3 linked regions of the Sus scrofa genome follow. The protein of the gene in region 1 interacts with the protein of each later gene in a biochemical or structural test. Links are inferred from orthologs where the notes say so. Each region holds a gene or a part of one and is shown in the gene's direction. Other genes may lie near its edges.

Region 1 (3,652 bases):
ATGGGCATCCATGGTAGGGTCCGAAGAAATGTTGTATGTTGAGGCTGTTAGAAGTGAGTCTCCCATGGGAGGCTCCCAAGCTCCCACTTAGGGAGGTGACTTTCTTCTCCAGGTGTAAGGGACCAGAGCTACAAGACTGTTTAGGCCAAGCACTGCCACTGATGAGGTATGATGGGTTTGGAGATTAGGGAGCTGGGAATATTTGAGGGAGGGCGGTTACCTCCTGGGGAGAGTTGAGTCTCTGTTCATTCTGGCCTTCTATATACAGCTACTGTCACTGGACTCAGGGACATAAGAATCCAGGCTTCTGGCCTTCCCTTCCTAAAATTAACCTGCAGTAGTCCAGGGGGTGGGGTGGGGTGGGGGTGGAGATTTAGGTTAACCCCTTCAGTGCTCAAGGATGTAAGTGTTAACTTTGGAGTTCACGTCATGGCTCAGTGGTAACAAATCTGACTAGTATCCATGAGGATTTGGGTTCGATCCCTGGCCTCGTTCAGTGGGTTAAGGATCTGTCCTTGCCGTGAACTGTGGTGTAGGTCACAGACGCGGCTCAGATCTGATGTTGCTGTGGCTATGGCATAGGCTGGCAGCTGTAGCTCTGATTTAACCCCTAGCCTGGGAACTCCCATATGCCGCATGTGCAGCCCTTAAAAAAAAAAAGAAAAAACACCAAAAAACAAGTGTTAACTTTTTGCCTCAGATCTGTGCCATACCTTTAGTACTGGTACAGATGACGTTTGTAAGGGAAGTTTGGACCAGGGTAATGCTGGGCTTCTCTGTCCCACAGCAAAACCCACCTGGCAATGGCTTTAACAATGGTAGTAGGACTGGCAGTGGTTTTCCTGATCCTGGGCAGCACTTTTCTGTATTGGCGTGGGCGCCGAATTCAGAATAAGAGGGCTATGAGGCGCTACTTGGAACGGGGTGAGGTAAGTGCCTAGCTGACTCTTGAAATGTATCCTATGCCATCACCCTTTTAAGAGCCTCTTTCTTCCCTAGAGATTTGATCCCTTCAAGGAGGTAGTATGGTCCACTAGAAAGGATTCTGGGAGTTCCCGTCGTGGCTCAGTGGTTAAGGAATCCGACTAGGAACCATGAGGTTTCGGGTTCCATCCCTGGCGTTGCTCAGTGGGTTAAGGATCTGGTGTTGCCGTGAGCTTTGCTGCAGGTCGCAGACGCAGCTCGGATCCCGCATTGCTGTGGCTCTGGTGTAGGCCAGTGGCTACAGCTCTGATTGGACCCCTAGCCTGGGAACCTTCATATGCCACGGGTGTGGCCCTAGAAAAGGCAAAAAAAAAAAAAAAAAAAAGGAAAAGAAAGGACTCTGGCCAGAGAAATGGGAGACATGAGTTCTAGTCCTGATTTTGCCATTAATTCACCACCTGACTGAAAAAGTTACCTTCCTTCTCTGAGCCTCAATTGATACAGAGGAAACTAGAACATTCATCCTGGAGTTACCGTTATGGCTTAGTGGTAAGGAACCCGACCAGTATCCATGTGGAAGCAGGTTCGATCCCTGGCCTCACTCAGTGGGTTGAGTATCCAGTGTTGCCTTGAGCTGTGGTGTAGGTCACAGATATGGCTCAGATCAGGCGTCACTGTCACTGTGGTGTGGGCGACAGCTGTAGCTCCAATTTGACCCCTAGCCTGGGAACTTCCATGCTCCGCAGGTGCAGTCCTAAAATAAAAGCAAAAAAAAAAAAAAAAAAAATTCATCCTTAAGGATGGCCGTAGGGGTGAAAGTGCTTTGAAAATCGGAATTGTATAAAAGTGCTTAAGGTGACGGTATTACCAACTCTCTCCCCTACAAAGCCCATCAAAGGGAAAGCAAAACCCTCTAGGTTTCTGATCTCATGAACACAAACAACTTCCTCAGCCCTCAGGGTCTGCAATGCTTTCCAAGGCTGGAGACATTCTTCCTCCTGCTCCCACCCCCCTGGGCTTTGCTGCTCTTGGCATCCACCTATGAGGAGGGGCTGGAGAGGGACAGGGGAGCGGGTTTTCCTGAGTCCCTCTTTCCCATCTGCTCTTTTTTTTTTTTAAATCTGCTTTTTTAAAAATTTTTTTAAAAATTTAAAGTTTTATTGAAGTATAGTTGATTTACAAGGCTGTGTCCCATCTGCTCTTCAGAGCATAGAGCCTCTGGATCCCAGTGAGAAGGCTAACAAAGTCTTGGCCAGAGTCTTCAAAGAAACAGAGCTGAGGAAGCTTAAAATGCTGGGCTCAGGGGTCTTCGGAACTGTGCACAAAGTGAGTGGCTCACAGGAAGTCTGGGGAGGTGGGGAAGGGATCTAGGGCAAAGGGGAGAAAGACTGAGGGAGGGGAGGATGACCTCAGGCTGACTCCTGCCCAAAACTTCCCAGGGAGTGTGGATTCCTGAGGGTGAATCCATCAAGATTCCCGTCTGCATTAAAGTCATTGAGGACAAGAGCGGACGGCAGAGTTTTCAAGCTGTGACGGATGTAAGTGAAGGCAGGGTGTTCTGTGTGCCACTACGACAGGGTATTAGAAGCATGGTCTTGTGTTAGCAGATACTGTGTTAGCCATGGTGGCGTCCTTGAATGCTGGGGGAGCCCTGGCCTGGGTATGTGTGAACCTGCTTGTTTCCAGGATAACCTTCTGTGTCTCTTAGCATATGCTGGCCATTGGCAGCCTCGACCACGCCCACATTGTACGGCTGCTGGGACTGTGCCCAGGGTCATCTCTGCAGCTTGTCACGCAGTACTTGCCTCTGGGCTCCCTGCTGGATCATGTGAGACAACACCGGGGGGTACTGGGGCCACAGCTGCTGCTCAACTGGGGAGTACAAATTGCCAAGGTGAGTGAGAGGAGCCTTGAGGAGTTCTGTGATGAAACTGCCTAACTGGGGGCCTGCAGGGAGGGGACCAGGAGGTTGAAGTGCTGAGAGGTGCCGTAGGGTTTGGGGTGATTCTGGATCTCAAGGACCAATTCCCTCAACCCTGAATATACTTCCTCTCCCTATAGGGAATGTACTACCTTGAGGAGCATGGCATGGTGCACAGGAACCTGGCTGCCCGAAATGTGCTACTGAAGTCCCCCAGTCAGGTTCAGGTGGCAGATTTTGGGGTTGCTGACTTGCTGCCCCCTGATGATAAGCAGCTACTGCACAGTGAGGCCAAGGTAAGTGATGCAAAGGCAGAGTTCCCGTTGTGGCTCAGTAGGTTAAGAACCCAATATAGTATCCATGAGGATGTGGGTTTGATCCCTGGCCTTTGCTTAGTGAGTTAAGTGTGTAGTGTTGTGGTGAGTTGTGTTGTAGTTGGCAGACATGGCTCGCATCCTATGTTGCTGTGGCTGTGGTATAGGCTGGCAGCTGCTGCTCTGATTCGACTCCTACCTAGCCTGGGAACTTCCATATGTTCTAGGTGCAGCCCTAACCCCCCCCAAAAAAAAAGTAATAAAAAGTTAAAAGTGTGTGGTTTTAAACATACTCAAGAGTTTAAAAAAAAAAAGTGATGCAAAGGCTGGTAAGGAGGTAGGGGTGTAGGAGTTCCCTGGTGGCCTAGTAGTTAAGGATCTAAGAACATGTGTGGAAATCAGCTGATGACACCTTTATCTTTAATCCCTCAGACTCCAATTAAGTGGATGGCCCTAGAGAGTATCCACTTTGGGAAATACACACACCAGAGTG
Region 2 (3,010 bases), on another chromosome or scaffold:
CCCCTCCCAGCTGTCCCTGCCTTTCTCTCGCGCCCAGGGAGGAGATCCCTGTCAGCAACGTGGCGGAGCTGCTGCACCAGGTGTCCATGGGGATGAAGTACCTGGAGGAGAAGAACTTTGTGCACCGTGACCTGGCGGCCCGCAACGTCCTGCTGGTCAACCGGCACTATGCCAAGATCAGCGACTTTGGTCTCTCCAAGGCACTGGGTGCCGATGACAGCTACTACACTGTGAGCCCCGGACCCAGGAGTGCCCAGGAAGGTGGGGGGTGGGTGGTGGACCCCTGAGCCTTGTCCCAGCAGCATCTCCCATCCCTCAGGCCCGCTCAGCAGGGAAGTGGCCGCTCAAGTGGTACGCGCCTGAGTGCATCAACTTCCGCAAGTTCTCCAGCCGCAGTGATGTCTGGAGCTATGGGGTCACCATGTGGGAGGCCTTCTCTTATGGCCAGAAGCCCTACAAGGCAGGCATGGGCAGAGGCGGGCGATAGCTGGGTGGAAAGGAGGGGCGGGGGTGGGGGACCCTGGTTACTCACTCATGCCCTTGCTCTGGCTTGAGCAGAAGATGAAGGGCCCCGAGGTCATGGCCTTCATTGAGCAGGGCAAGCGGATGGAGTGCCCACCAGAGTGTCCACCTGAAATGTACACACTCATGAGCGACTGCTGGACCTACAAGTGAGTCCCAGAGGTGGGAGGGGACCTGGGCCCGGGGCAGGAGGTCATGATGCCCAGTAGTCATCCCACCAGTGTCTCATCCCATCCAGTGAATCACCAAGTTCCTGGCCTTTCCAACACTCAGGACCTTTTGTCCCCCTGTGTCTATGCTCAGCTTTCAATGCACTGATCTGCCATGCTCCAGTGGCCCAGCACCCAACACCCACCTGTGGACACCCAGTGATCCAGCATCTGAAACCTCTAACATTCAACATAGTGATCCTATAGTACTCAAAAAAGTTAGTGCTCTTACCCAAAATGTGATACTGAAACTCAGGGCCATTATATAATTCCTGTTTCCTATCAGCCGACATTCAACACCTCACTACCCAGACAGGCCGACACAGAAGCACCCAAATACTCAATGCCCCTCACTTCTGTCTGTTCAAAGCTCAGTGGTTGCACACCCAAACTCCTAACACCATCAGTATCTCCACTTCCGTCAGACAACAGGGAACATGCACCGAAGCTCTTACCCTATACTGATCAGGCAATGTGGGCACTCCAATATTTGATACCTTTGCTGCCCCAACATCTATTAGGGGCCAACACCCATCATAGGGACACCTGAACACCCAAGCAATAGAAACCCTATTTATGATAAATGAATAAGTGATCAGCCAATCCCTCCTCTACCATGTATTAATCCAGCCTCTATCAGGAAATGCTCAATAAACATCCCCAGAAATTCCTGCTGTGGTGCCATGGGTTAAGGAGCAGGTGCTGCCACAGCTGTGGCTCAGATTGAGTCCCTGACCTGGGGACTTCCATATGCATCAGGTGTGGGTAGAAAAAGAAAAAATAAAAACCCCAACACCCTAATGCCTGAAGAGGCTAGAACACTCTGACACAACGCAAAGATAAGCTACACACAGTACCATTAATACCCCAACTTTCCACTGGCTGGAACCATCAATACTCCAGCGTTCTGCTCTGTTACCGGCAGCGTACCTGCATCTGTATGAGGTGGCACCTAGCACCCAAATACCCTGGCCAAATATACATGTTCAGTACTTTAGCATCAATATCCCAGCCCCCCGTGGTCAATGGCTGTCACCTCAAAATTCAATGAGCTCCCTTCCCAGTCATCACTTAATATGTGCTTCCCTCCTCCAATCCTAAATGTTATCAGCTCTTTTATAAGGTGGTACAGCAACCTTACTCTCTCACCCAAGAGAGCCCTCCGTTACCCCCGCCCCCAGCCCCACTGCTTTCTGAGCTCCATGTACGTCCGCCCACTAACTGACATTGGGTTCTGGGGTTGTGGTCAGTGGCCTGGATCTTCCCACCCCTCACAGGTGGGAGGAGCGTCCAGACTTCCAAATCGTGGAACAGCGCATGCGCACCTACTACTACAGCTTGGCGACTAAGGCCGAGGACGCTGCAGCTGAGGGGAAGGAGGCCGCCTGTGCCTGAGCTCCAGCCTGAGGCCTGTATCCCCCAGTTTCTCCTCCTGTGCCCACAGCTCCTTCCTGGGACCTCAGTCCGGCCGGGCTCAGCTCAGTTTCTCTCCCCCCACCAGCTGGACTGTGGTAAGGGGGACAGGCCTGAGGCCCACACTGGTCTAGGAGTCCCCACCCGGTCACTTGTCCTCTCTGGCTGGGGGAAGGAGGACAGCAGGGAGGGTGGGCCTGGGCTGAAGGGATGTTGCTCACAACAAGGACCCTTTTTCCTATGGGCCCTGAAGGGCAGACTTTGGGGGTCCTCAGGGGGCAAGACCTCAGTCATTGGAATAAACTCAACTTCTCTCTTGTTTGGGATCCCTTATCTTTTCTGGGGTGAGGTTGGGACCAGAAAAGGGGCTGGGGAAGGGGTCCATGAGAAGTGCCTGAAAGCAACTTTCCCTGTGTGAGCCGGAGGGCTGGTTTTCCATCTCCGCCCTGGGCGCATCTTCATGCAGGTGGGGTGGGGCCGAAGAGCTGCATGCACTGCTGGCCTTGGCTACCCTACCCTCCTGGTCGGCTTGAAGCAGGTGCAGACTGTTCTGCGGCATGTCAACATCACCTGGAGAGGTTTTTAACACGTGCCGGCCTTCCCCACCACCGGCCCTCCCCCCCGCCGCCCCCGCCCCTCCCCCCGCCGCCCCCCGCCCCTCCCCCCACGCCGCCCCCCCCCCAGCCGGGTCCCAGCGCCCACGTCTGCCCCGCCCCCACAGGTGCCACCCCAGTCAGCCCCGCCCCCACTCAGGACTCTCCCCCAGCCCCCCACGCCAGCCCCGCCCCCACGCCAGTCCACCTCCAGCAGCCGGCCCCGCCCTCACGCAGGCCCCTTCCCCAGCCAGCCCTGCCCTTATGACAGCC
Region 3 (3,652 bases), on another chromosome or scaffold:
GACCACTTCTTGTTCTTAATGTTCACAGATATCTTTTTCCTGATGCTACCCTTTCTCTCCTTTAAGCATCCTGGTATCAAATTATACATTTTGTCACTCACTCCATTCTCTCAAGATTCTTTCATATGCCTCAATAGCTTTGTCATGTCACTTGTAAGGACTGCTCTTCACCTATCAATAGTAGTCTGTTTTTGTTTTTTTAGCAAGTATTTATTGAGTGCTTTTTCTGAGTGTGTGAAACAATATTCATAGTCTTGCAAACATGCCTTGCTCCTTAAGGAATTTGTTAGGAAGACAGCTGACTGTTCTGTACCTTTCAGTTGTGATAGGACATGATTGATGAATTTTACTCCACCCCACAAAATTTTGTATAGTTTAAAATAATGAATAAATTTAAGTAGACATTTTTCTTGGAGGATATTATGTTGTGATAAAACTTCCTGAAGTAAATGCTGAAATAGTCAAAAGATATTCCCTTTTCTGAAATTTTAGGATTGTGAGTTGACTCAAATGATTAAGATGGGGGCTTGTCCCTGCCCTCTTTTTCTTTCTTATCTTTCCACCTTTCTAGGAGGATACTATGGAGGTGGAGGAATTCCTAAAAGAAGCTGCAGTGATGAAAGAAATCAAGCATCCTAATCTGGTACAACTATTAGGTAAGGGAGCTTTCCTGAACCATAACTTTCCTCAAAGATGCTTGTCCCCCAACCCCCTATTAACTCCAAATCCTTCTTTTGAATCACTGTGGGTGGAAGCTCCCAGTACAAATCTACTTCTTTAAATGACTTTAATCAGCAGTCTCTGTATTTAAAAATTACCCAAGAAGCAGTAACCTGGATTGATTGCAGTATATATGAAACTGCACAGCCTGTGGTAATTGCCCTGGATCCAAAGTTCAAAATCATTCCAAGTGATACTAAACCAAAAACGGTCACAAAATAGTTTTACAAAATAAAGAGATACTAAGCAAAGGACTGCTGAAAATAAACAGATTAAAAATTGTGACCATCCATCAGTTTGCCTTTACAAGCAGAAAGTGCCATCAATAGACTGCTATCTTACGTGTTTGGGTCACAGAAAAACCGTTGACTAAAACCATTGCTTTTTAAAAAATAGGGTCAGTTTCTTTGGATGTTCAAATTGAGCCAAACCATCCCAAAGGAAATAGATTCTTTTGGTTCTTGATAAGTTATCTGCCATGTGTTAGTGGAATCCTTGATTGTGGAAATAGTCAGAATCTTTTTACAAAGTATTATTACAGACCGGGCTCACATACAGGCTTTACCACATGCACAGTTGCTGTTACTTTTAGGTAAACATGGGCAGCATGCAGTTGAGGATGGGGATTATGTAGGCATGTACAGAACTCTAGATGTGTTGGTAGTCCTGACCCCGTGTGGAATTAGAACAAGCAACTCTGCTTTTGCCAAATAGGCACTTACTCAAAATGGATATGAATTTCCAGAGAATGATAGAATGAGAACAGAGTCCCTTATCAACTAGCTTATATCATTTTTAGGGAATATGATGGCAAGACGGGAAAAGATTACTGCTGAACTAGACTTTAAAAATTGTCAATTATTCTTGAAGTTCCTGCTGTGGCACAGTGGGTTAGGAATCTGATTGCAGCAGCTCAGGTCACCGAGGAGGTGAGAGTCTGCTCCTGGCATTGCGCAGTGGGTTAAAGGATCTAGAGTTGCTGCAGCTGTGGTGCAGATTCAGTCCCTGGTCCAGGAACTTCTATATGCCATGGATGTAGCCATTAAAAAATTGTCAGTTTTTCTTGCCAAAGTGGTTTGCAGTGTGTGAATATATACTAATAAAACAAGCTGTATTTGAACTATCAGGTGTATGTACTTTGGAGCCACCATTTTACATTGTGACTGAGTACATGCCTTATGGGAACCTGCTTGATTATCTCCGAGAATGCAACCGAGAAGAGGTAACTGCAGTTGTACTGCTTTACATGGCCACTCAGATTTCTTCTGCAATGGAGTATTTAGAAAAGAAGAATTTCATCCATAGGTGTGTAAAACCTGGTTATTGCTTATGATTAACCATGAAGCTCTCTTGATTGACATGCAAATAAAAGAAAGAATGTGAGAATTTTAGCAAAAATTTTCAGATGACTCAGGAATTTTCTCTTTTACAGGCACCATTGTAATGACATTGCCAATTTATAAACCCTCCTGTTCTCTGATTAAAGTATTAATGCGAGGCCTTTGTTATTCTCAGAAGAGAAAGCTCTTTACTTTGCCCAGGACTATATCCAAGATCCTTTTGCCCCATCTAGTGGCTTAATTTTAAAAATAGCTTTCTGTCCTAGTAATGAACTTACAGCTGTGTAGAAGAGCATCTGTTGCTCACTTCTGAAGCCTATCCCAAGTATTTGTGAATAGGAACCCCTTTTCTGAAGCCTGCTTTATTCTGGCATCACATAACTCCCTCTTGATGGGGATTCTACAAGTGATGTATAATTAGTGGCTTTCTACCATCTTAGTAATTTTCATAAAATACTACCATATCTGTCAGCACTTATCAAACTGTAAGGGAACTGATAATAGAGCATTCATGATCTTTTTCTACAACCACCTGTATGGAATCACATTTTAGAGTTCTCTTTCCCACAGAGATCTTGCAGCTCGTAACTGCCTCGTGGGAGAAAACCATGTGGTAAAAGTGGCTGACTTTGGCTTAAGTAGATTGATGACTGGAGACACCTATACTGCTCATGCTGGAGCCAAATTTCCTATTAAATGGACAGCACCAGAGAGTCTTGCCTACAATACCTTCTCAATTAAATCTGATGTCTGGGGTAAGAGTGAAAGGAACATTTTCCTGTGTGTTATTTTCTTTATAAATAAATACTAAATTCTTTAGAGCTTATCTTTTATATAATCATGTCTTCTGTCTTTACATTCATCCTTCTTTTAGTCATTCAGCAAGCACTTATTAAATACTTAGTATCTGCTAGGCACTTACCATAGAAAGAAATTATAAAGAAGAAAGTTAAAGAAAAAAGTCTCTGCCTGCGGAGCACTCACAATCTAGGTATTATACTGCACTGGAGTAACAATGATCCTCTCTCTATGAAGCTCCCTGTTGTCCACATTAGGCTTTATTGCTTGTTTCTAGAGCACTGTGACACAGAGTAGCAAACTCTTTTCAAGGAAGGCATAATGAAGTTTCATCTAGAATTTGTCTGTGTAACTGATCTTGTTTTTGTTGCCCTGAAAAGCAATGTGATTTAGCAGAGGCTCAGGAAATAGAACAAGTCAGGAAATTTGGATTGTGGACCAATAGAAATACTTGTAGAATTCTTGGTTTTGTTTTTTGTTTTTTCTTGGTCTTGTTTATCAGAAATATCAATTTCAGGAATAACTTGTGACAAAATCAAGGAAATTCTTTTTACAAGTGTGATTTTTATCTGATTTTAAGTTGAGTCCATTTTTATATTACTCCTCTAGTATTAGCTGACTTAAAAATTGTGAAACTTTTATGAAATAGATCATAAATTGCTCTAAGAATAGATGATTATGCCCCAGGCTTCTTATATTATCATAGTTTACTTTTCCCTCATTGTAGTAAAGGAAATCCCAATAAAAATTGGGAAATTTAAAGAAAACCATTGAGATTGTATCTGAAATGTTCT

The links.
Region 2: the proteins of ERBB3 (region 1) and tyrosine-protein kinase ZAP-70 form a complex in vitro, tested with the Homo sapiens proteins (2 studies listed by BioGRID and IntAct, with this or other methods). The link is inferred for Sus scrofa from reciprocal best matches to the Homo sapiens genes ERBB3 and ZAP70.
Region 3: the proteins of ERBB3 (region 1) and ABL2 form a complex in vitro, tested with the Homo sapiens proteins (2 studies listed by BioGRID and IntAct, with this or other methods). The link is inferred for Sus scrofa from reciprocal best matches to the Homo sapiens genes ERBB3 and ABL2.

The regions. Positions count from the first base shown.
Region 1 is NC_010447.5:21,487,596-21,491,247, forward strand, and holds part of ERBB3 (receptor tyrosine-protein kinase erbB-3), read left to right. Parts: intron 1-112; coding exon 113-166; intron 167-787; coding exon 788-929; intron 930-2,130; coding exon 2,131-2,250; intron 2,251-2,363; coding exon 2,364-2,462; intron 2,463-2,632; coding exon 2,633-2,818; intron 2,819-2,985; coding exon 2,986-3,141; intron 3,142-3,591; coding exon 3,592-3,652. UniProt on the Homo sapiens protein: Tyrosine-protein kinase that plays an essential role as cell surface receptor for neuregulins.
Region 2 is NC_010445.4:56,514,902-56,517,911, reverse strand, and holds the end of tyrosine-protein kinase ZAP-70, read left to right. Parts: intron 1-37; coding exon 38-230; intron 231-319; coding exon 320-460; intron 461-558; coding exon 559-671; intron 672-2,008; coding exon 2,009-2,126; 3' UTR 2,127-2,463; downstream 2,464-3,010. UniProt on the Homo sapiens protein: Tyrosine kinase that plays an essential role in regulation of the adaptive immune response. Regulates motility, adhesion and cytokine expression of mature T-cells, as well as thymocyte development.
Region 3 is NC_010451.4:120,904,575-120,908,226, reverse strand, and holds part of ABL2 (Abelson tyrosine-protein kinase 2), read left to right. Parts: intron 1-571; coding exon 572-656; intron 657-1,847; coding exon 1,848-2,025; intron 2,026-2,630; coding exon 2,631-2,815; intron 2,816-3,652. UniProt on the Homo sapiens protein: Non-receptor tyrosine-protein kinase that plays an ABL1-overlapping role in key processes linked to cell growth and survival such as cytoskeleton remodeling in response to extracellular stimuli, cell motility and adhesion and receptor endocytosis.